Linked DNA regions of Elephas maximus indicus. The protein of the gene in region 2 purifies or fractionates together with the protein of the main gene of each other region. This does not show direct contact. Links are inferred from orthologs where the notes say so. Each region holds a gene or a part of one and is shown on either strand. Other genes may lie near its edges.

Region 1 (10,301 bases), on a different chromosome or scaffold from region 2:
TTTTGTGCCTGGTGACACACTGGGTGAAGTATCCATAGCACAGTCCCAACGCTGACACCTTGGATAACATTTATTATATGTATGCTGTAACTAGACGGAAAACTTCAAAGAGCAGGAAACTTGCCTTGTACTTTGGGACAGCTTTTGACACACCCAGTTGAGATGACATTGGAGGCCTACCTAGGTTGGATAAACCAGCAAGAATTTCAGCTATTTGCCTGCTTTAACGTTAATGCTCATAAAATAACAGATTTCTGTCACTCCTACGTGATCTCTGACATAAAGCACCTCCACCCTAACAGTGCCTTAGATAAGCGTTCTTGTGCATCATCACACTTTTGCTCACAGCCCTTGCAATCTAGTTTCTGCTTACTTACTGAACCACGCTCTGCCTCAGACCATTTCGCAACTGGTTTTTGTTCATCGTGGGGTTCCATTCCTGCTTGTCCAGATGTGTTGACACAAAATTATCCACTTTCTGCCTCAGGTTTTGGTAAGCTGGCTAAAATATTAAAAAGAAGGGGCAAGTCAGAAGTTAAATGCACCAAACTTTTCGAAAACAGTCATTCAGAATACTGGTTTTCATAGAAATTCATACTTTCTCATCTAAATATATTCCCACTATAATTACATGGCGATCACCATGCAACATGGTAGGGCCAGAGCGTTAGAGCTAGCAGGAGAGCTCGTGTGATAGTGGGCTGAGTGCTGGATGCTTTACTTACATGATCCCACTTACTTTTCAAGCAACTCTAAGAAGGAGGTCCTATTATCTCCTTCCTCTTCCACATCACAGACCAGAAATTTAGCCTTAAAGAGTAAATAACTTGCCCACATGGCTGAAGTGTGATAAAACCAAGGTTAGACCTAGGCTGCATTGGATCAAAGAAGACTAGGTTCTCGCCCTGGTTCTATCGCTTACTAGCTATCTTAACTTTCGACAAGTCACTCACCTCCTAAGTCTGTTATTTCCATCTGTAAAACTGAAATATTACTGTCCTGTTACCTCACAGGGTGTTCTCGGCAACAAGGTCCCGGGAAAGCCCTCTGCGTAGAATGAAGATCTACCCACACCTCAGTAAGACATTAGTCCAAAAAAGAGCATTCTCTGCTTGAGAGGCACTTACTGGTGGCAAACGTTCTAAACAAAACTAGCGTCAGAAGAATTAGAAGTAACTTGGAAACCCTGGTGGCATAGTGGTTAAGAGCTATACCTGCTCACCAAAAGGTTGGCAGTTCGAATCCACCAGGCGCTCCTTGGAAACCCTATGGAGCAGTTCTACTCTGTCCTCTAGGCTCGCTGTGAGTTGAAATCTACTCGATGGCAATGGGTTTGTTTTTTGTTTTGGTGAACACAGGAATGCACGTCCTGAGCCAAAGACCTTCTGACTCTATCAGTGCCTCTCCTCTCCAAACCAGATATGAGCGTGTAGGCCGCTGGTCGGCACTTCACGCTGTAGCCCACCCAAGGTGGGCAGTGCATATGTCTCCCCCCCAACGGTGCTGGCCTGAACTGTAATTTGCTCTGGCCAATGGAACGTTAGTGACATGAGGCCTCAAATGTGCTTGTGCATCTGCCTTGGCTCTTGCATGACTTTGGGAGGGCATGTCCTGTGTCGCCACTGCCCCTTCAAGCCTGGAATCTAGAATGAGCGCATGTGCACCCAGACCTAAACCCAACCCACAGCCTGGACACGAGCCCAGGCAGCCTAGCGCTGAGCCACCCAGCTGAAGCCTGCCTAGGTCAGCCGAACTTAAGCTGACTCGCAGCTCTAGCCGCATAAATGAGCGCCAATGCTTATTGTTATAAGCCACTGAGGTTTGGTTTCCTATGCAGCATTACTATGGCAAAAGCTTCCTAACACATCAGGCAAATGAATTCATCAAAGCAATCACCAGGCCTCCTGCCATGGGTAGACTCTTCCAAAATACCAAGAAAGCAGGCTTACAAGCCTACTAAAGAATCTCCACTAAACCTGAAATGAGGAAGGCTGGGAGGAGGCTGAAGAGGAGTAAAATTCACAGTTAACAACTCCTTTTTCCTGGTAACCATCTTCTCTTCACAAGGGGTTGGCAAGTGGCTGCCATGTTCTTATGGCCCTGTTCACCTGCCGCAAGCTAAGACAAGGCAAGCGTTGCCTGAGATCTTTACAACCGGAGCTCAGAGAGGAAAAATCTGTTAAGAGTGCTCAAGTGATGCTGGCAACCAAATGGATGACTCCACTCTGCAGACACAGTAACATAAATGTAAGAGCAGAGAGGAAAGAGCGCCCTAATGGAGAATCCCAGGTTGCAAACGCATCCCTCCTATTCTGGCACAGTTTGTTCATTCAATCCTTCCTTGGATTCCACGAGTCAACAGACTCCTCTCTTTGCTTAAAGGACTTAGAATTAGATTTCCGTCACTTTTAACCATGAATCCTGATGCTGTACCTTCTACCACTCAAAACAATTCACACAGTTTGAGATGACAGAAACTGTTTACTGAAAAAAGGCAAAGGATAGCAAATGCTAGTACCAAACCTTTAACAGACTTGACATACAGTTCATCTAGTCAAAGGACCTAATGTCCCTATATTAACACCTTACTATAAATGTTTTATCATTTATCTATCCAACCAGTCCTCTCTTAATCAGCCATCAGGTCATTCTATTTAATTACTTGTATACCGGGTGGATGGCACAGCAAATTACAGACATCAGTACACTTTCCCCTGTGCACTTTGGTACTTGAGTGGGGCCCAAAACTTCCACCTCTAATAAGTTCCCAGGTGATACTGGTGCCGCTGATCCAGGGATCACACTTTGGAGAAACACTGAGCTAAACAAAGGTCTCAGATAAGACATGCCCGAAGACACTGTCTTTAAGAATTAAAACCACCCGGTAACTACCAGAAGAAACAATTAAAAGGTATAAGTGGTTGTAAGGAGCCCTGGTGGCACAACGGTTATGTGCTCAGCTGAACCCACCTAGTGGCTCTGCAGGAGAAAGAACTGGCGATCTATTCTTGTAACGATTACCCACTGCCATCAAGTCGATTACCAACCGATAGCGATGCTACAGGGCAGAGGAGAACTGCCCCACAGGGTTTCCAATGAGCTGTAAATCTTTACGGAAGCAGACTGCTACATCTTTCCTCTTCGGAGCGCCTGGTAGGTTCCAACAGCTGACCTTCTGGTTAGCAGCCAAGCACTTAACCACTGCACCACCAACCTAGAAAGTCCTATGGACAGTTCTACTGCCACACGGGGTTGCTATGAGTTGAACTGACTTGATGGCACCCAGCAACATATGTGGTTGCCTTCCGACCCCCTGCTTCCCAACAGCTTCTTAATATTCTGGATCATTTCTTTTTTTTTTGATTAAGCCACAAAACCTAATCATAAGAAATGAGTGGAGATTTTGTTGATGGGAAACATCCAGGGTCCTTCTGAAGAAGGAGAAAGCAGGTGACATGGTTTTCCGGGTTCCTTAAAGAACAGCAAGTACCTTGTTTCGCTTCTAACATGGGGTTTTTATCTTGGAGGAGTAAAACGGCAAGCAGAACTTTACTATATATACTACCTGGTTTACATGTAAGTTTTCTATCTTAAAACATGAGCTTTGAGATGGGGTCAGTGGCTTACTTATTCCGGCACCTTCACAGGAACACTGCCATATTATTAGTTCAGTAAATGTTCAATGAATAACTAGATTATGTCCTTCCCTTATCTTTAAGGTCTCATTTTCAGGCCACAATCTTCCTGTAAAGTACCAAAAACACACCAAACCTATTGCTGTAGAGTCGATTCCGACTCACAGCGACCCTACAGGACAGGATAGCACTGCCTCATCGAGTTTCTAAGGAGTGCCTGGCGGATTTGAACTGCTGACCTCTTGGTTAGCAGCTGTAGCACTTAACCACTACACCACCAGGGTTTCCTCCTGTAAAGCAGGCAACAAGACTTCCATAATAGGTTAAAAGAGGGAAAAATCATATCCCTAGAGGAGCCCAGCCAGTAAGAGCGCCGCCAAAACCTACAACTTAAAGAGTCTTTGATCGTGCTTGGAAAAGCTTCTAAAAAAAGAAAATGAATATTCCAGAAATTAAGTGTCTGACATTTAATACACATTATTTCATTGAATCCCAACAAACCCTGAAAGTAGGTAAAGTGAAATTGCAGTTTTACTGGGGGTTGACCTATGGCATTAATTCTCAAATAAGCACCAAACCCCCTTTAATCAATGATGGAATACAATATATGGGTGCTTTAACAACAACGGACTTTAACTAGATACTAAAGTTTGCAAATCACTGAGGCAGAGCAAAGGAACAAATGAATCGCTATAATACGCTGATGACTGCATTCAAACTACCGCGTTCAATAGAGAACTGGTGGAAATTCTAAACCATTCTTGCTTACCTACCTGGTTTTCTCCACCGCTTGTAACGAATTGAGGTTTGTTATTGAGGGATTTAAAAGAGTCCCATCTCGGGAATGATAGAATCTGGGTTCTAAAAACTAGTATTAATCGCCCTGAAGTTCTGAGAAGCGATCAGGCTAAAATCGTACAGCTACAAAGTGGCGGGCTGGGAGTCTGCTCCACAGAAGTACGACTCAGCTCTCTGTACTGCCCCAAGCGGTTTAACACCTCACCGCTGAGATTTAAAAGGTATCTTTTGTCTTTTTGTCTCTGCTTTAGAAAAAAAAAGGCTGCAACCTTGGCGGCCTCACACCCAGCCCGGCTTCGCTCGACCCAGGCGGTCTCAGCTACCTTCGTGTCCACGTCGGCCAGGCAGTCCCGGCGGAAGCTGTCAAACAGGCCCCGGCTCTTGAGCTGCTCCACGATGAGCGCGATGAGCTGCGGGTCGCCGGGGGGCAGCGACGCGGGGTTGATGGGGCCGCCGCTGCCGCCGGCGCCTGTCACGCCTGACGCTGCCCCTGCGGAGGCCGGGCCCGCTCCGCCACTGCCCACCGCGCCCGTTCCCCCGCCGCCGTCAGCCATGGCTGCGCTCCGGCCCCGCGACCGAGGCCGAATAAAGCTTCTTCTCAGGGGAAGAGGGCCCGAGTCGCGTAGAGGGGGTGGCGGAGCAGTAGGCTCCCAAAGAGATGAGGGAAGCGGGGGAGGCTGCGAAGGAGGCGGCGGTGCAGAAAGCAGGCTCTCAGGCGGCGGCGGCGGCGGCGGCAGCAGAGGCGGCCGAAACTCCCCGCTCAATACCTGGCGCGCTCCAGATTGCGTCACTCTTGACTTTTGCATTCTGGGGCGGGAAGTTTTCGGCATCAGTTCGGGCTTTCTTATAAGCAGGAGTGTGGTGCACGAAAACTACAATTCCCGGCAGGCTCCGGACGCGCCCGTCGCGAGTTTGCGGGGGCAGTATGGGAATTGTAGGCTCAGGCCCTCGTGGGTGCTGCAAGCGGGTCGCCTATCCCAGTCGAGTCACTACTATCCTCACATTAATCCAATTTATCTCAACAGTGCTTGATTATAAGAATCATCTGCGGTGCTTGCTAAAAGTGTAGATTACCAAGCTGATCCCTTGGAGACTCTGATTCAGTATTTCTGGGTCGGGGCCAAGGAATTTGTGTTTTTAACATGTACTCCCACCCCCTACTAAACAATATAATCAGGGAAATTTAAAAAACAGCGGACTTGTCAAATTTCTATTATTCAAAAATTTGACTTTTTCTTCTGATTTTAAGAGCAATGCATGCACATTTTAGAAAATTGGAAAAGTGTGAGGAAAGAAAATGAAGATCTCTGGTAAGTGTCTTACACGTGGGTAGATTTTCTCTCAGATATTAAATAATAATTAAAAACCTAGTATCGAGTAACTGGAATATGCCAGGCATGATGCTAAGCACTTTACAAGCACCACTTCACAACAGTCTAAGAAGTAGTTGCTATTATTCGCCTTTTACAGATGCAGAAATGAAGGCGCAAGAGTTTGTTAACGTGAGCACACAGCTGGAAGTGGAAAGATAGGATTTGAACCCAGGTTTCCTGAATCGAAATCTTGCGTGCTTAACCTAAGGCGCGCTACATCCCAAGAGCTATCTGACATCATACAATAGATAAGGTTTTATATCCAGATTTTTTACAGCCACAATTCACTGTTGGAACTCTATGATTGCCACCATTATTCTCTCTTCTTTGCATCTTTTTGCGCTTTAGCTCCTGCCCACAACCCCGGCAATTATGTCAGCTGTTGTTATTTCCAAATCATACATGATAATGGAGGGGATGTAAATAATAAATTCTGCAATATCCTTGGCTTCCTGGAAGATCCAGGATTGGCAGAGATCCAGGATATTCTCCATTCCAACATTTACTACTCATGATAGTTTAAATTAACCCTCAAGATAAATATTCAGGTGTTAGTTTCTACTCGTCGTTTGGCATCAGCTCAACCTTCCTCATGATAAGTTAATGTCAAACATTCTCCCTTAATACCATCACCGTCCTTGAAATCACCTGAGATCTATTCCTACTAATGAACCCTACACTTTCATCATTCACAGTTAGCCTCAGAAGAAGCCCAATTCAGGCTGCCTGGGCCCCAGGTTCATTCTCTTCCAAGCTCCCTGATCACCTTGGCCAACCTCCCCTCCAGTTTAGGCACACCACACCTTACTTTCTTTCCTCAGGGCAAATTTTTCTGATCTCCAACCCTAATCTGGTTTTTTAGGGTAATGCTTCAGCTATAGGTATTTCCTTCTAATGGAGTTAGTTTTGCTCTTCCCCAAAGCATGCTGGGGATGAACTCGGGATGGACTGGGACTAAGGTACAAGGCCAGGAATGGTGTGACTAGGCCAGTGGCCAAGGCCGAGGAATGCCTTAGCAAGAAAGGGCCTGGATGAGAAGTCCCTGGGAACGCTACCTGCCCAAGGACATGGGAGTAAAACCATGAGCCTTGGTCCCAGCTGAAACGGTATGTAAGCTTGTTCCCCTTGCTAGGCAATTGCAGAGCACTAAACTGGTCCAGCCACTGCCCTGGGTCACTGTCCCATAAGTAAGCTTCCCAGTAAACCATATGTCATGATTGCTGGTTCTGGAGTCTTTCTTCGGTCTCTTGGAGATGTGGCTAACCTTGGGTCCAGGTGCTGCTTGATTGTTACACAACAGGTTTTGTCTCCCTGATATAGACTCTTAGAACCTCATTCTTGTAGCATTTACTGTAATTCAAAGTGAATCATTTATAGGCTAATTGGTGGCCTGTCTCCCCTGCCGGAGTATAACCTTTAGAGCAGGGACCACAACTTATTCATTGCTATTTCCCCAGCCCTTACCACAATGTATAACTCTGAGAAAACCAAACCAAACCCGTTGTGTCGATTCCAACTCATAGCGATCCCACGTTTTAGAGTAGAACTAGCTCCGTAGAATTTTCAATGGCTGTAATTTTATGGAAGTAGATTGCCAGGCCTTTCTTCTGTGGTGCCATTGGGTGGACTAAAATTGCCAACCTTTGCATTAGTAGCTAAAAACAAACCATTTGTACCACCCAAGGACCTATACTTAGACCAAGAGCCTGGGCCCCAAGAACCTGGCTCAGAGAGGGTTCCAATAAATATTGGTTGAACGGGTGAGTGTTTGCTTTAGTTCTTGTCTGTTTCCTGTAGCCATGGGATAGGGTCAGAGACTGTGTGGATGGGGACATTTATGGCGACAATCTTGAGAAAAGAAAGAATCACTTTAGTAGGAGATGGCGGGTTAGTCTGTCATGACCTAACGGGTAGGTGATCCCAAGTGATCCTGGTTGCTATAAACTCTGAACTGTGAAAAGATGCTCACCCCATGCCCTTGACGTTGCCTCTAGAATTGGTATAAATGGGGCAGGCAAGGGGAGCACAGGTGACCGGGACTAGTAGAGCTTATTCACTCAAACCCTGCAAATGTGCTGCTTCCCAAGGTCAAGGAAAGTGTAACAAACCACAGTGGTCACCAGGGAGCGCCATTGCTGTATTAATCATCTAGAATGTTTAGCAATCTCTGCACAGAATATTTTGTTAAATTTTGGCCTAGGTAGTAATCTCTTTTTTCCAGGTATCCTTTAGGTAACATTGGAAACCCTGGTGGCATAGTGGTTAAGTGCTACAGCTGTTAACCAAAAGGTTGGCAGTTTGAATCCGCCAGGAGCTCCTTGGAAACTCTGTGGGGCAGTTCTACTCATCGACTCAACGGCAGCGGGTTTGGTTTTAGGTAACAATCACTGCTGATTCTCAGTCTTAAAATTTGCCCGTAATGAGTGACATGACACAGTGACTTGTACATATTAGATGCTGGAATATTTTATGTCAAAGACTGCATGGAGGGTATAAATTCTGCAAGCCTACAAGCCCAAATCCAGACCTCAAAGGAGAAAGGGCAGAAACGGGGAAAGAAATGAGATCCATAGGCTGCCAAGGGGGGAAATGGAAAAGTAGCCAAACGCATGGGTTTTTTTGCATCAGATTGTGCTGGATCAGAATCCCAGCTCTGTCACTTTGTAGGTAGTATGACCTAGGACCTTGGAAAAATTGCATTACCTCTCGGAGCCTCAGTTTCCTCAGATCTGAGGAGGGGATAAAGCATAGTCTTGGCAATCCAGTTAGTATAATTCCTGGTCCTTATTCAGTGCTTAACAATAGATTGCAGTCACAGTTGATGTTTGGGCTGGGAGGCTATTTGATTAACCTCTGCCTCCCCTGACTAACCTCTAAATTCCATGAAGGCAGGGACTGTCTACTGCATTGTTCACTGTTGTGTTCTCAGCATCTAGAACAGTGCCTGGTAGGTACAGGCTCTTGGTAAATACGTAATGCATGGATGGAAAAGGAAAAAAAAAAAGAATGAGAATGGGAAGTTTACTCTTCTAGATACAGATAAGACCTTTTAAGACTTGATATTATCTTAGACTGAGTGTCAGGATATAGCCAATATTCGGAGGGGTCGGGTACAATCTAGTGAGCCATTTATAATATACAACTAGACTGGACTAGGAGGCTGGAGGTCAGGGCAGGCCTAAAGGTTAGAAGTCTGTCTGTAGTTGCCTTGCTAACCTTCCAGCCTTCTAATCCAAGATCCTGATCCTTCAGCAAGAGCATTTCAGAACCCTATGGGGACAGAGTAGCCCTGGTGGTGCAGTGGTTAAGAGCTTGGCTGCTAATCAAAAGACTGGCAGTTCAAATCTACCAGCCACTCCTTGGAAACCCTGTGGAGCAGGTCTACTGTCTTATAGGGTCGCTATGAGTCAGAATCAGCTTGATGGCAATGGGTTAAGGGGAGAGTAAGGCACTCTGGTGGCCCAGTGGGTAAGCACTTTGGTACTAAGGGAATGGTTGATGGTTCGAACCCACCAGCCACTCTGCAGAAGAAAAGACCTAGAAATCCTATGGGACACTTCTACTCTGTCCTGTAGGGTCACTGTGAGTCAGAATTGACTTAATAGTGTATGACAACAAGGGAACAGTGATGGCTCAGTGGTAGAATTCTCACCTTCCATGTGGGAGACCCAAGTTCGATTCCTGGCCAGTGCACCTCATACACAGCCGCAAGCCATCTGTCAGTGGAGGCTTGCATGTTGCTATGATGCTGAACAGGTTTTAGCAGAGCTTCCAGACTAAGTCAGGCCAGGAAGAAAGGCCTGGTGATCTATTTCCAAAAATCAGTCAGTGCAAACCATGTGGATCCCAGTGGTTCGATCTGTGACACATCAGGAAGATGCACAGGAGCAGGCAGCTTTTGGTTCCATTTTGCGTGGGGTTGCTGTAAGTTGGGGACCCGCTTGACAGTAGCTAACAACAACAAGGCTGAACTCAGGCCTGTATACCCATGTGAGATAGACCAACAGGTCATTTTTCATGTACGTGGCTGTGGCCCTTTTTTTCTTGCCTCCATATATCCATCCAAGGAGCCTTGCCAGCTCTTGGGCTGGACAGCTGCTCATTTCTTAATTAACAGCATCCAGAGTTTTTCCAGACATCATTGATTGCCTGTCTGTAGCTTATTGGCTACATCTGCACCATTTGATCTCTACTTCTTTATACATATATTTGGTTCTTTATGATGTTTTCCAGCATCTCCAGTGACAGATGGGATCTAAATATACACCAAGAAAACAAGGCTTTAACAAGCAGGAGTCCTCAGCACCACTCAATACTACCTCCATCTCTCCAACCAAATATGCATCTTAGAAAACACACCAGGCTGCGGTGTTTTTAACATATTGCCATTTTCAACTACTAAAGGAGGGCTAGTGAAAAAGCAACCTGATACAGAGACAAGAGTAAGAAATTTGGAATTGGTTTGGGTTTGGATTCAGGACCTCTACTTATTGGC
Region 2 (10,655 bases):
ACCTGGAGCCGTTTACAGTATGTCTTGCTCTGAGGATTGTAGACATCACAAAAGAGCCGAGTGGCCCTGGAGATTTGGAGCAGAGGGAGAGTGGTGAAGGAGGGTGGTTCCACCTAATGTTACCCAGACCACATCCTGCCCCAACCATTACTCCCCTCCTCTAACTCCACGTGGCGCCCACACTCACCCCTCAATGCGTGTGGGGTACATGGACCCAAAGGACGTCTGGCTCTCATACTGGAGAGATGAACACAAAAGGAAGGAAATGGATGTGGCTGGATGCCCTCCCAGACAACAAATCTGTCCCCTTGAGGCCCACTGATGTTCCCACACCATCCGCCCCCTCAGAATGACACCCTAACCTTGGCGTAGCAGCGTTCCATGTGGCGCAAGGCAACACGTGGGTTGATGGGGTGCCCACAGGAGACGCAGAAGATCTGCAGGTCTGTGTCGTCACTGTCGCCCTCGTTGCTCTGTATGGGGTGGAAAAACAATGAGGACAGGTAGGACCAGGTGCTGGGCCCTGCCATGCCACGCCCACACTTGCTCACCTCCTCATCCTCGCGCACAGCCTGCTGCTTGGCACGCAGAATGATGGCCTCGAGCTCGTGGAATCGGCGTTCCATTTCCTGAAGGCGAGTGCGGGCACTCTGCTGCTCACGGCGAATGCGTTCAAGCAGCTTCTTGCCGTGTTCCTCAGCAATGCAGGGGCTCTGCTGCCACTGCTGGATGCGCTGGGGGAGGATCTCATAGATGCGGCTGCAGGGACAGTGGGTGCGGTGTAGGCCGGGAAGGTGGCAAGTAACCAAGTAACAAGACAAGGAAGTGGGGTGATTAAAGGTGGCAGAATGGACGGATATCTGAATGATAAAATGGTAGATGAATGAGTAGGTGGACTAATGGATGGGTGAGTGAGTAGACAGGTAGGCAGGTGTTTGGTTGTATGAATGGTGGATAGATTATTGATTGGTGGACATACAGATGTGCTGGTCATGCCCTAGTCTGTACTCCCTGAACCCCTGAAATGACTCACTTGGCTGCCAGCTTCATGCCACAGTCATCTGAGCAATACTTGGAGCCGGGCTGTGCGGGACGCACACAGCCAGGCCCCAGGCACTGCGGTAGCGATGCAGGGTCCTTGGCATCAGTCCGCTCTGGGTGTTTCCATTTGTCTTTGTGCTTCTGTTTTTGTCGATGCCGCTTATATCTCTCCTCCTTCTATGGGCCAGGGCAGGGAAAGTCAGAGGGCAGGTGAAGTTAGCCCCAGACCCTACCATTCCACCCCTTCTGGCTCTTGCCTCCTATAGCCCCTGATCCTTGCCTCCCCACACCCCTGCCCTGGCCACTGCCTCCCATGTTTTAGTTCACCCCTTCCGTCACCTTCTTCTCAGACTTCTTCTCCCGGCGCTTTACATGCTTCACTTTCACTGCTCTCTTCCGCAGTGCGGGATCCAGGAATGGAGACTCCTCTGTGTCACTCATCCAGGGCTGCAAGCAGGGCATGCATTGATCCCTCCACCCTACTCATGACAACCCTGCCACATAATTTCCCAAATCAGTCTTCCATACCCTCTGCCTCCTTCTTCTCTGCTCTGTAACCTCCACCCTTCCACCATCGGACACTCCTGCCTGCTCACCAGGCCGTGGTCATCAAAGGCCCCAGCACAGAAGTCCTGGTACAGGTCAGGGTCCAGTGGTAGGTCCTCGTCTGAGAGTGGCTCAGGAGTGGCTGTAGCCTCAGGTGGCTCCTTGACCGCTGATGACACCACAGCTCCCTCGTCCTCACGGATGCGCCCCAGCTTCTGTGATGGCTGTGGCTGCTGCTGGGTGGGCAATGGCCGGCGGGGCCTTGGCAGGGACTCTGAGGGCGTCACCGGCGAGAGCTGCAGGGCAGAACCTCAGGACTGGCCCTGACCGCCCTGCCCGCATGCCCCCCACCCCACCCTGGGGGGCTGGACTCACCGAGGAAGGGAAGTACTTGTACGATTCCTGTGCCGGCAGGAGGAAGGCCCAGGTCAGCCCCAGGTGGATGGAGGTTGGCCCCACCCACCTAGCCCTGCCTTGCTTCCCTAGACACACCTGGCCCAATCCCACCCACCAGAACCTGCTCAGCCCTGCCCCACCTGCCTGACCACCTGGAAACACCTGGCCTCACCCTGCCCACTCAAATACATACAGGGCTATGGGATCTCCTGCCAGTCCAATACATCTGGTTATGCCCCATCTATCTGGACGTGTCAGGCCCCTTCCCACCTGCCTGGATACAACCCAATCCACCCATGCATAAACTGAACCAGCCGCTCCTGGACACAATGTCCCCACCCCACCTGACCCTGCCCAACTCCACCCATGCTCACCCGGGCCCGAAGCTGGCACTGGCGTAGCCGGCACTTCTGCCGGATCTTGTTGGGGCCTCCAAACTTCTTCATGTCCCGGCAGAAGTCACAGTGGCCACAGTCTTCAGTACGCCGGCACGCCTCACACTCACCGCACATGCGGGCTGACCGTTTGATCTGTTGCTGCTGCTGGTGATGCTGGGGAAGATGACAGGAATGAATCAGGAACCCATACAGGGTGCAGGATGGAACCATCCTATCCATCCCAACCACCAAAGTCACTCACCTGGCTGGGTGTGGGCACCAAGGGCTGTGGAGAGGCTTTGTGGGGTGAAGCAGAGCCCCGAGCAAGAATGGCCCCGACCCCTGTCCCAGACCCCACCCGGCGCTGCAGGTCTGGATCCGGGGCAGGCCTCTTGCGCCCTCCACCCTCATCCCGGGGCTCACTGCTGTCCCGCTCACTGCCGTCCCGCTCCCGTGACTTCTTGTGCCGGTAGCGGATCTCCAGTTTGGGGTCCTTCTCTGTCGGGGGGAGGATGGGGCCACTGGCAGTTCAGTATTGGGGGTGGTTTGGATGGTCCCGGAACTCTTTATTTTCCTTTCCTTCCCATACCACCCACCCGCTCCATCCCCCTGCTCCAGGGCAAAGCTGCTCCCTCTTGCAGGACCCTCTATTGTGGCTCACGATGGAGCCCCAGTTCCAGCTCACCACGGACCAACAATTGCTCTGCCCCCAGACACATCATCATTATTTCCCACACCCCCCTCCCATTGTGGTTCCCTCCTCCTCTTCCTCGCCCTTTGAAGCTCCACCTGCCTGCCCTGTCTATCCCACCTCCCCCTCACCTCGGCACTCCCGACAGTACCACTCCCGGATGGCTTTGGCCATCTTCTCAGTGATCCGGATGCAGTCCCCATGAAACCACTCATTGCAGTTGTCACACCCGCTGCAGAGGATGGGGCGGGTGGTGGAGAAGTGAGGGCCCAGGCCCCATCAGCATCACCCAACCCTGCCAGGTATCAACCCCACCCGCGTCTCCCCGGCTCACATCATGAAGCAGTTGATGTCTGGCTTGCGGCAGATGCAGTAGATGGGCGCATTCTCCCCATTCTCCGACTTGCTATCCTCCCCAGCATCTGGTGGCTCTGGGTCTGAACCGTCCCCCTCCTGTGGGATCCCCCATTATGACTCCTCAGAGAACCCCCAAAATGGCACCACTCCCCCTCATTACAACTCTTATCATGCCTCGCCACAGATACCCATGGCTTTGCTGAGAACTACCATCATGCCTCCCCATAAGTTTCTCCACTATGGTCCTTATAGACCAGGCAGGATTTTGTTCTGTTGTACATAAGGTCACTATTAGAACCGACTTGACAGCACCTGACAACAGCAGCATGGTCCTTACAGACCCCCCCGTAACACCTCATTACTGCCTATAGACCCTTTTTATTCTACCCCAGACCTCCCATCACTCATGCCACTGACACCCCATGACTTTAAACACAAACCCTCATAAAGGCTCATCACAAACATCCTAGTACTCGCCATATACTGCCTCCTCCGTGGCTCCCCACAGACTTCCACCACGGGTTCTCACAGACACCCCGTGATTTACCACACAAACTCCTCATCATTGTTCTCCACAGATTTCCCACTATTTACTCCACACACCCTCCTCACGCCGCACTACAGACCGTCCGACACGGCTCATCACAAACTCTTTATCACTCTGTCCAAAGAACCCCTCATCACGGTTCTCCACAGAACCGCCATCAGTGATCCCCACTAACCTCCCATTATGGACCCCCTTCTGGCCCCTCACAGTACTTTCATCATGGCTCACCACAGACCTCCGTCGTTCTTCCCAAAGGACCCTCTGAGGCTCACCACAGACCCCCCCATCATTCCGCCCACAGGCTCCTGTTATAGCTCACCACAAACTCCCATGCGTCTGTCGTCGGACTTCACCATTACGAACCTCACCGACCTCTACCGCAGAACTCCCTGGACTGGTACTCACCATATCTCCAATTCCCAAGCACCCGCTCGCAACCTCGGCCAGCGACAAGGTAACCTGCACAGACCACTCCGCGGCGTCCGCGGCCGTTGCAAAGGCGACTAGAACCACTTCCGCTTCTGGTCGCGCCAACCGGGCACCGTACCCTATTGCGCAGGCTCCGTACGGCGGCTCCGCGGCAAACAAGCTATACGCCCGCCTAGAGCCCTGAATGGCTCTTAGGAGCCGCCATCTTGACTATCGAGTCCGTAAGGCGACCGAGTCCGTAAGTTCCCGTGAAACATGGCAGCGCCTGTATGGCAGCTTTCCTCTGGGGGCTGCCACCTTGTCGGTCGAATCCGTACGCTGACCGCCTGTACTGTATCGACGTTAACAAGCAATATGGCCTCACCTACTGCGCGAATTCCATGAAGCCGCTGTCATCTTGGAGTCTGATTCCGTAACCTGGCCGAGTTCATAAAGTCACAGGCACCATGGCAGCGCCCTAGTTGTGGCTACCGCAAAGGCGCCGCCATGTTGACAGTTGACTCCGTACAACGACTGTTTGTAGTGCAGTGGCCAAGCGGCCTCTGAGGAAACGGATCAGATGAAACCTTTCATTCATTCCTCCACTCAATCACTTTTCCTTTCCACATGCGTTAATGGGGAGCCAACAGGTTATATGGATCGCGTTAGGAAGGCAGTCAGTCCTCCCCGTTACATCTCTGACTTCACCTCACAGAAATTTTCTTCTTCACGCTTCCTCACTATTCCTCAAATTAGCCAGGCGCGGGTCAGCCTCTGGGCCTTTGCTGTTTTTACAGGAACAGCCTCGCCCTGGTGGCGCAGTGGTTAAAGCGCTCGACTGCTAACCTAAATGTCAGCAGTTCGGCTGTCAAAGCTTAAAATTGAGCATGATCTGTAAATAGAGACGTAACCCCCTTGTGGGCGGGGCGGGGGAGGTGTCTGACCTCTACATTCACAAGGGAGGAGAACCAATAGGAACAAGCTAAGACTGATTCCTACGAGGTGGAAGTCTGACATGCCTCCACCCTCCAACCTTTTTACCAATTCTGACACCAACTGTCCCCTCCCAGGACACTCTTTACTTCTCTTTGGGTTTGATAACTTGTTGCAATGACCACACAGAACTCGCAGACAATACTCACGCTTATGGTGTTTATTAGGGAAGTAACCGATTACAATTCAGGCTCTTGAATGCTCAGGACACAGTTCTTCCATAAGGACAGCCTCATTTCAGACTCTCTGGCCCCTCAGACTCTTGGCCTCTCCAACCTCTTGGCCTCTTGCTGGTCCTTTGGCTTTTGCTCTGCTCAGGCGAGTGTTACAAACTCTTTTAGCTCTGTTGATAAATGCCCGGGGGGCACCCCACTCTGCCAATAAGCCTTGTGCCTCACCGTGTTCAGCTCTAGCTCCTTTGGCTGGGAAGCCCCACTGCAGCCTTCTTGCGCTGGTCTCCTAATTTCTGCCATCTTGCAAGTCTCTCACTGTCTTCCATGTTACAGCTCCTTTCTGTCTCCTGGATGTAGGAAGTTCTCAGCTCAGGGATCCTGGATCCAAAAAATAGCCTCTGCTCCTGGCTCTTCTTTCTTGGTGGTGTTGAGATCTTCTCTTCTTGCCTCTGGGATGGCTCATTTTAAGCCTAGAGGGATGGCAAAATTGACCAATTCTCTCATTAGGGTGCCATATACCTTATTTGCATGATCCCACCTACACAAGGGTGCCATGCACATTATTTACATTATTAGCAAGCTATCCAATTCCTTTGGTGGGACACAAGCACCTCATTTACATAGTCCCACCCTGTCATTTGGTGAGAGCTCCAAAAACTACGGCTAGAAGGGCCATACTAAATAATTCACTGTGCCACAAGAGAACAATAGTTTTATTGAGGACTAGAACGGTTCAAAACAGGCAGCACAAAGCAAGTGCAAAGTGCTGCAGAGGGGTTATGTAGAGAGGGATTTTTACATACAGTTTAGAGCAATGAACAAATCTTGACATCAGCTTATCTATTTTAACATTCTTTCTGAGAAAGATCTGCACAAGCAATCTTTCAAAGTACAGTCACAAGACCCCCTCTTTAGGTAACATTTTGCCATATGTTTAACCACATTCTTGCTCCCTCCTTGACTGCTCAAGTAGGGTAGTTAAAACTTTACAAAAGTGGAAAATTCCATCCACAATCTAAAAGCAGAAGTGAAGGTTAGAAGCAAAATAGAGTCTGATTCAAACCTGTGTCAGCCACCTTAGTTATGCCAAGCACCTTAGATTTTTAGGGTGCACTCACACAGAGCTCACCAGGTGCTCCACAGGAGAAAGATATGGCAGTCTGCTTCCATAACGATTTACAGCCTTGGAGAAAAAAAGAAAAGGCCACATAAATCAGAGACTACATCAGCCTGAGACCAGAAGAACTAGATGGTGCCCAGCTATAACTGATGACTGCCCTGATAGGGAGCACAACAGAGAATCCCTGATGGAGCAGGAGAACTGTGGGATGCAGACCTCAAATTCTCGTAAAAAGACCAGACTTAATGGTCTGACTGAGACTGGAAGGACCCCAGAGGCCATGGTCCCCAGACCTTCTGTTAGCCCAAGACTGGAACCATTCCCAAAGCCAACTCTTCAGACAGGAATTGGACTGGACTATAAGATAGAAAATGATACTAGTGAGGAGTGAGCTTCTTGGCTCAAGTAGACACATGAGACTATGTGGGCAGCTCCTGTCTGGAGGGGAGATGGGAAGGCAGAGGGGGACAAAAGCTGGCTGAATGGACACAGGGAATACAGGGTGGAGAGAAGGCGTGTGCTGACTCATTAGGGGGAGAGCAACTAGGAATACATAGCAAGGTGTATATAAATTTTTGTATGAGAGACTGACTTGATTTGTAAACTTACCTTAAAGCACAATAAAAATCATAAATAAATAAAAGATTTACAGCCTTGGAAACCCCATGGGGCAATTCTACTCTGTCCTAGAGGGTCACTACCAGTTAGAATTTACTCAATGACAACAGGCTAGGTTTTGGTTGTTCTTACCCTCAGAATCATTCATGAGCAATGATGGAAGACCTTAAATGATGATGAGTGTGGGTCCTAGTGAGAAGTGGCCAGATCAGAAGTAGATTTTGAAGTCACAGTCAGCCAATGTCACCAAGTCCTCCCCTCCACCCCTACTGCCATAGGCTGCAGATGTCCACTTTGATTTTCTAGTTTAGTTGGGGTCTCCCAATATTCTCTTGGAGCCTTGGGGGCACAGTGGTTAAGAGCGTGACTGCTAACCAAAAGGTTAGCAGTTTGAATTCATCAGCCACTCCTCGGAAACCCTATGGGGTAGTTCTACTCTATCCTATGAGTTGAAATTGACTCGATGTCTACAGGTTTTTAATATTCTCTCCTGTAAAGGTTTTTTTTTTTTTTTACTTAAATTGGGTACAATATTCATTAAAAAAAAGAAATAGAGCTACCATATGACTCAGCAATCCAACTGCTGAGAATATACACAAGGGACTTGAAAGCAGCCACTGGAAGAGATGTAAACCAGTGTTCACTGCAGCACTATTCACAATAGCCAAAAGGTGGAGACAACCTAAATGTCCATCAATGAATGAATGGATAAACAAAATGTAATACATGCATACTATGGGTTATTACTTGTCTTTGTCATCTAGTGCTGCTGTAACAGAAAGACCACAAGTGGATGGCTTTAACAAAGAGAAATTCATTCTCTCACAGTTTACCCATTGCCATCAAATTGATACTGACTCATAGAAAACCTGTAGGACAGAGTAGAACTGCCCAATAGAGTTTCCAAGGAGTGGCTGGTGAATCCAAACTCCCAACCTTTTGGTTAGCAACCTGAGCTCTTAACCACAGTTTAGGAGGCTAGAAATTCAGTTTCAGCACTAGGGGAAGGCTCTCTCTGTTGGTTCTGGGGAAGGTCCTGGTCATCAATCTTCCCCTGGTCTAGGAGCTTCTCAGTGGACTGGTCCTGGGTCCAAAGGACACACTCTGCTTCTGGCACTACTTTCTTGGTGGTATGAGATCCCCCTACGTCTCTGCTTCCTTCTCTCTTCTATATCTCAAAGGAGATTGACTCAAAACACAAGCTAATCTAGTAGCTTGAGTTCTGCCTCGCTAATATAACTGCCTCTAAACCTGACACATTAACATCATAGAGGTAGGACTTACAACACATAGGAAAATCATCAATGACAAAATCGTAGACAATCACACAATACTGAAAATTATGACCTAACCAAGTTGACACACATTTTGAGGGGGACACAATTCAATTCATAACACTACTCAACCAGAAAGAAAAAGGATGTCCTGATATATGCTTGTGGTATGATGGATCTCTTTTTTGTAGCCTTTCCCGCCATGGTCTTGTAACTCCTACAAAACGATTGGGTTGGACTATTAAAATAAGGTGCTTGTGATTCACCAAGGGGATTGGACAACTTGCTAATAATGCAAATAAGATGAATGGCAACCTTGTTGGGGTGGGAACATGCAAATAAGGTGTATGGAACACTAACAAGAGGATTGGTTGATTTTGCCATCCCACTGGGCTTAAAATGAGCCATCTCAGAGGCAGAAAAGGGCACCTCACTACCACCAAGAAGAGATGGAAGCAGAGCACGTCCTTTTGAACCCAGGTTCCCCACACTTACAGCCTCCTAGACCCAGGAGACAGAAAGAGAGAGCTATAACACTGAAGATGGCTCAAGGCTGTGAGAAGCAGCAGCAGAAAAACGGCAGCAGCAGAACCAGGAGACCTGCGTGAGATGGCACAATGGGCTTCTTGGCCCAGGGAGCAAGGCAGTTACAGTCAGTGCGCCAACCTACACAGTGAGAGAGATAAGTGTCTTCAGCCAGGAGGCTTACTGGCAAAGTAGGGTTCCTCTGGGTACTTGTCGTCGGAGCTAGGCTTACTGACCCACAGAGCTAGAGAGCTGAGTACCTTTGGGCTGAGATTTACTGGCAGGGTGGGGTGCCTCTGGGCACTTACTGGTAGAACTAAAAAGCTTTGTAACACTTGCCTGAGCAGGGTAGAGGTGAGGTTGAGAGTCTGAGGGGCTGAGGGCCAGAGAGTGGCCTGTCTGTGGGCACAGTTGGGAAGAAGCTGTCCTGATGGAAGAACTGTATCCTGAGTCATTCCTGATCCTGAACTGTAACCTGTTACCCCCCTAATAAATCCCATAATTGTAAGTATTGTCTGTGAGTTCTGTGTGGCCTTTACAATGAATTATCAAACCCAGCAGAGAGGTAGAGAGTGCTGTGGGAAGGAAGGCTGGTGTCAGAATTGGTAAAACGATTGGAAACAGAGGTTTGTCTGACCTGCGTCTCATGGGAATTAGCCTTGGACTGCTGATGCTGATAATGAGTCTCCTTCCCCTCGTGAGGTTAGAGGAGGTCAGATGCCCCCACCACCCCATTCTGACAATGCTACAACATAGGTGGAGCTTCAGGCCATTATGTGGAGTGAAATAAGTCAGTCACAAAAGAACAAATACTGTATGAACTCATTTATATAAAAAGACAAATGTATAGAGACTACAGTTTATTAGTGGTTACCAGGAGCAGGAGGGAAGGAGAAAGGCGAAGTTTTTGCTTACGGAAAATTCACCATTGATTAAGAGTATTGGTTGCACAGCCTTCCTCTCTTTCACTCACCCTTTACTTTACCCAGCATGATGTCCTTCTTCAGGGACTGGACCCTCCTGATAACTTGTCCAAAGCATGTCAGATGAAGTCTTGCCATCCTCCCTTCCAAGGAGCATTCTGGCTGATTTGTTCATATTTCTGGCAGTTCATAGTATATTCAATATTCTTCTCCAATACCATAATTCAAATGCATCAGTTCTTCGGTCTTCCTTATTCATTGTCCAGCTGAAAACACCATGGCTTGGATCAGGCACCCGTTAGTCCTTAAAGTGACATCTTTGCTCTGTAACACTTTAAAAAGGTCTTTTCCAACAGATTTGCCCAATGCAACGCATTGTTTGATTTTTTTGACTGCTGCTTCCATGAGAGTTGATTGTGGATCTAAGTAAAATGAAATCCTTGGACAACTTCAATATTTTCTCTGCTTATCATGATGTTGCTTATTGGTCCAGTTGTGAGGACTTTTGTTTTCTTTATGTTGAGTTGTAATCCACACTGAAGGCTGTGGTCTTGGATCTTCATCAGTAAATGCTTCAAGTCCTCTTCACTTTCAGCAAGCAGGGTTGTGTCATCTGCATATTTCAGGTTGTTAATGTGTCTTCCTCCAATCCTGATGCCCTGTTCT

Evidence for each region. Proteins that work in one complex are often made in the same cells at the same time.
Region 1: the proteins of CXXC1 (region 2) and BOD1 purify together in Homo sapiens (affinity purification with mass spectrometry; 4 studies listed by BioGRID and IntAct, counting the BioPlex papers as one, with this or other methods). This does not show direct contact. The link is inferred for Elephas maximus indicus from reciprocal best matches to the Homo sapiens genes CXXC1 and BOD1.

The regions. Positions count from the first base shown.
Region 1 is NC_064820.1:192,942,220-192,952,520, forward strand, and holds the start of BOD1 (biorientation of chromosomes in cell division protein 1), read right to left. Parts: upstream 5,200-10,301; 5' UTR 4,988-5,199; coding exon 4,757-4,987; intron 503-4,756; coding exon 378-502; intron 1-377. UniProt on the Homo sapiens protein: Required for proper chromosome biorientation through the detection or correction of syntelic attachments in mitotic spindles.
Region 2 is NC_064829.1:58,940,465-58,951,119, forward strand, and holds the start of CXXC1 (CXXC-type zinc finger protein 1), read right to left. Parts: upstream 5,237-10,655; 5' UTR 4,364-5,236; coding exon 4,361-4,363; exon of another isoform or gene 4,275-4,360; intron 3,505-4,274; coding exon 3,386-3,504; intron 3,284-3,385; coding exon 3,183-3,283; intron 2,859-3,182; coding exon 2,623-2,858; intron 2,535-2,622; coding exon 2,358-2,534; intron 1,990-2,357; coding exon 1,963-1,989; intron 1,884-1,962; coding exon 1,638-1,883; intron 1,489-1,637; coding exon 1,381-1,488; intron 1,219-1,380; coding exon 1,034-1,218; intron 760-1,033; coding exon 552-759; intron 474-551; coding exon 363-473; intron 238-362; coding exon 188-237; intron 67-187; coding exon 1-66. UniProt on the Homo sapiens protein: Transcriptional activator that exhibits a unique DNA binding specificity for CpG unmethylated motifs with a preference for CpGG.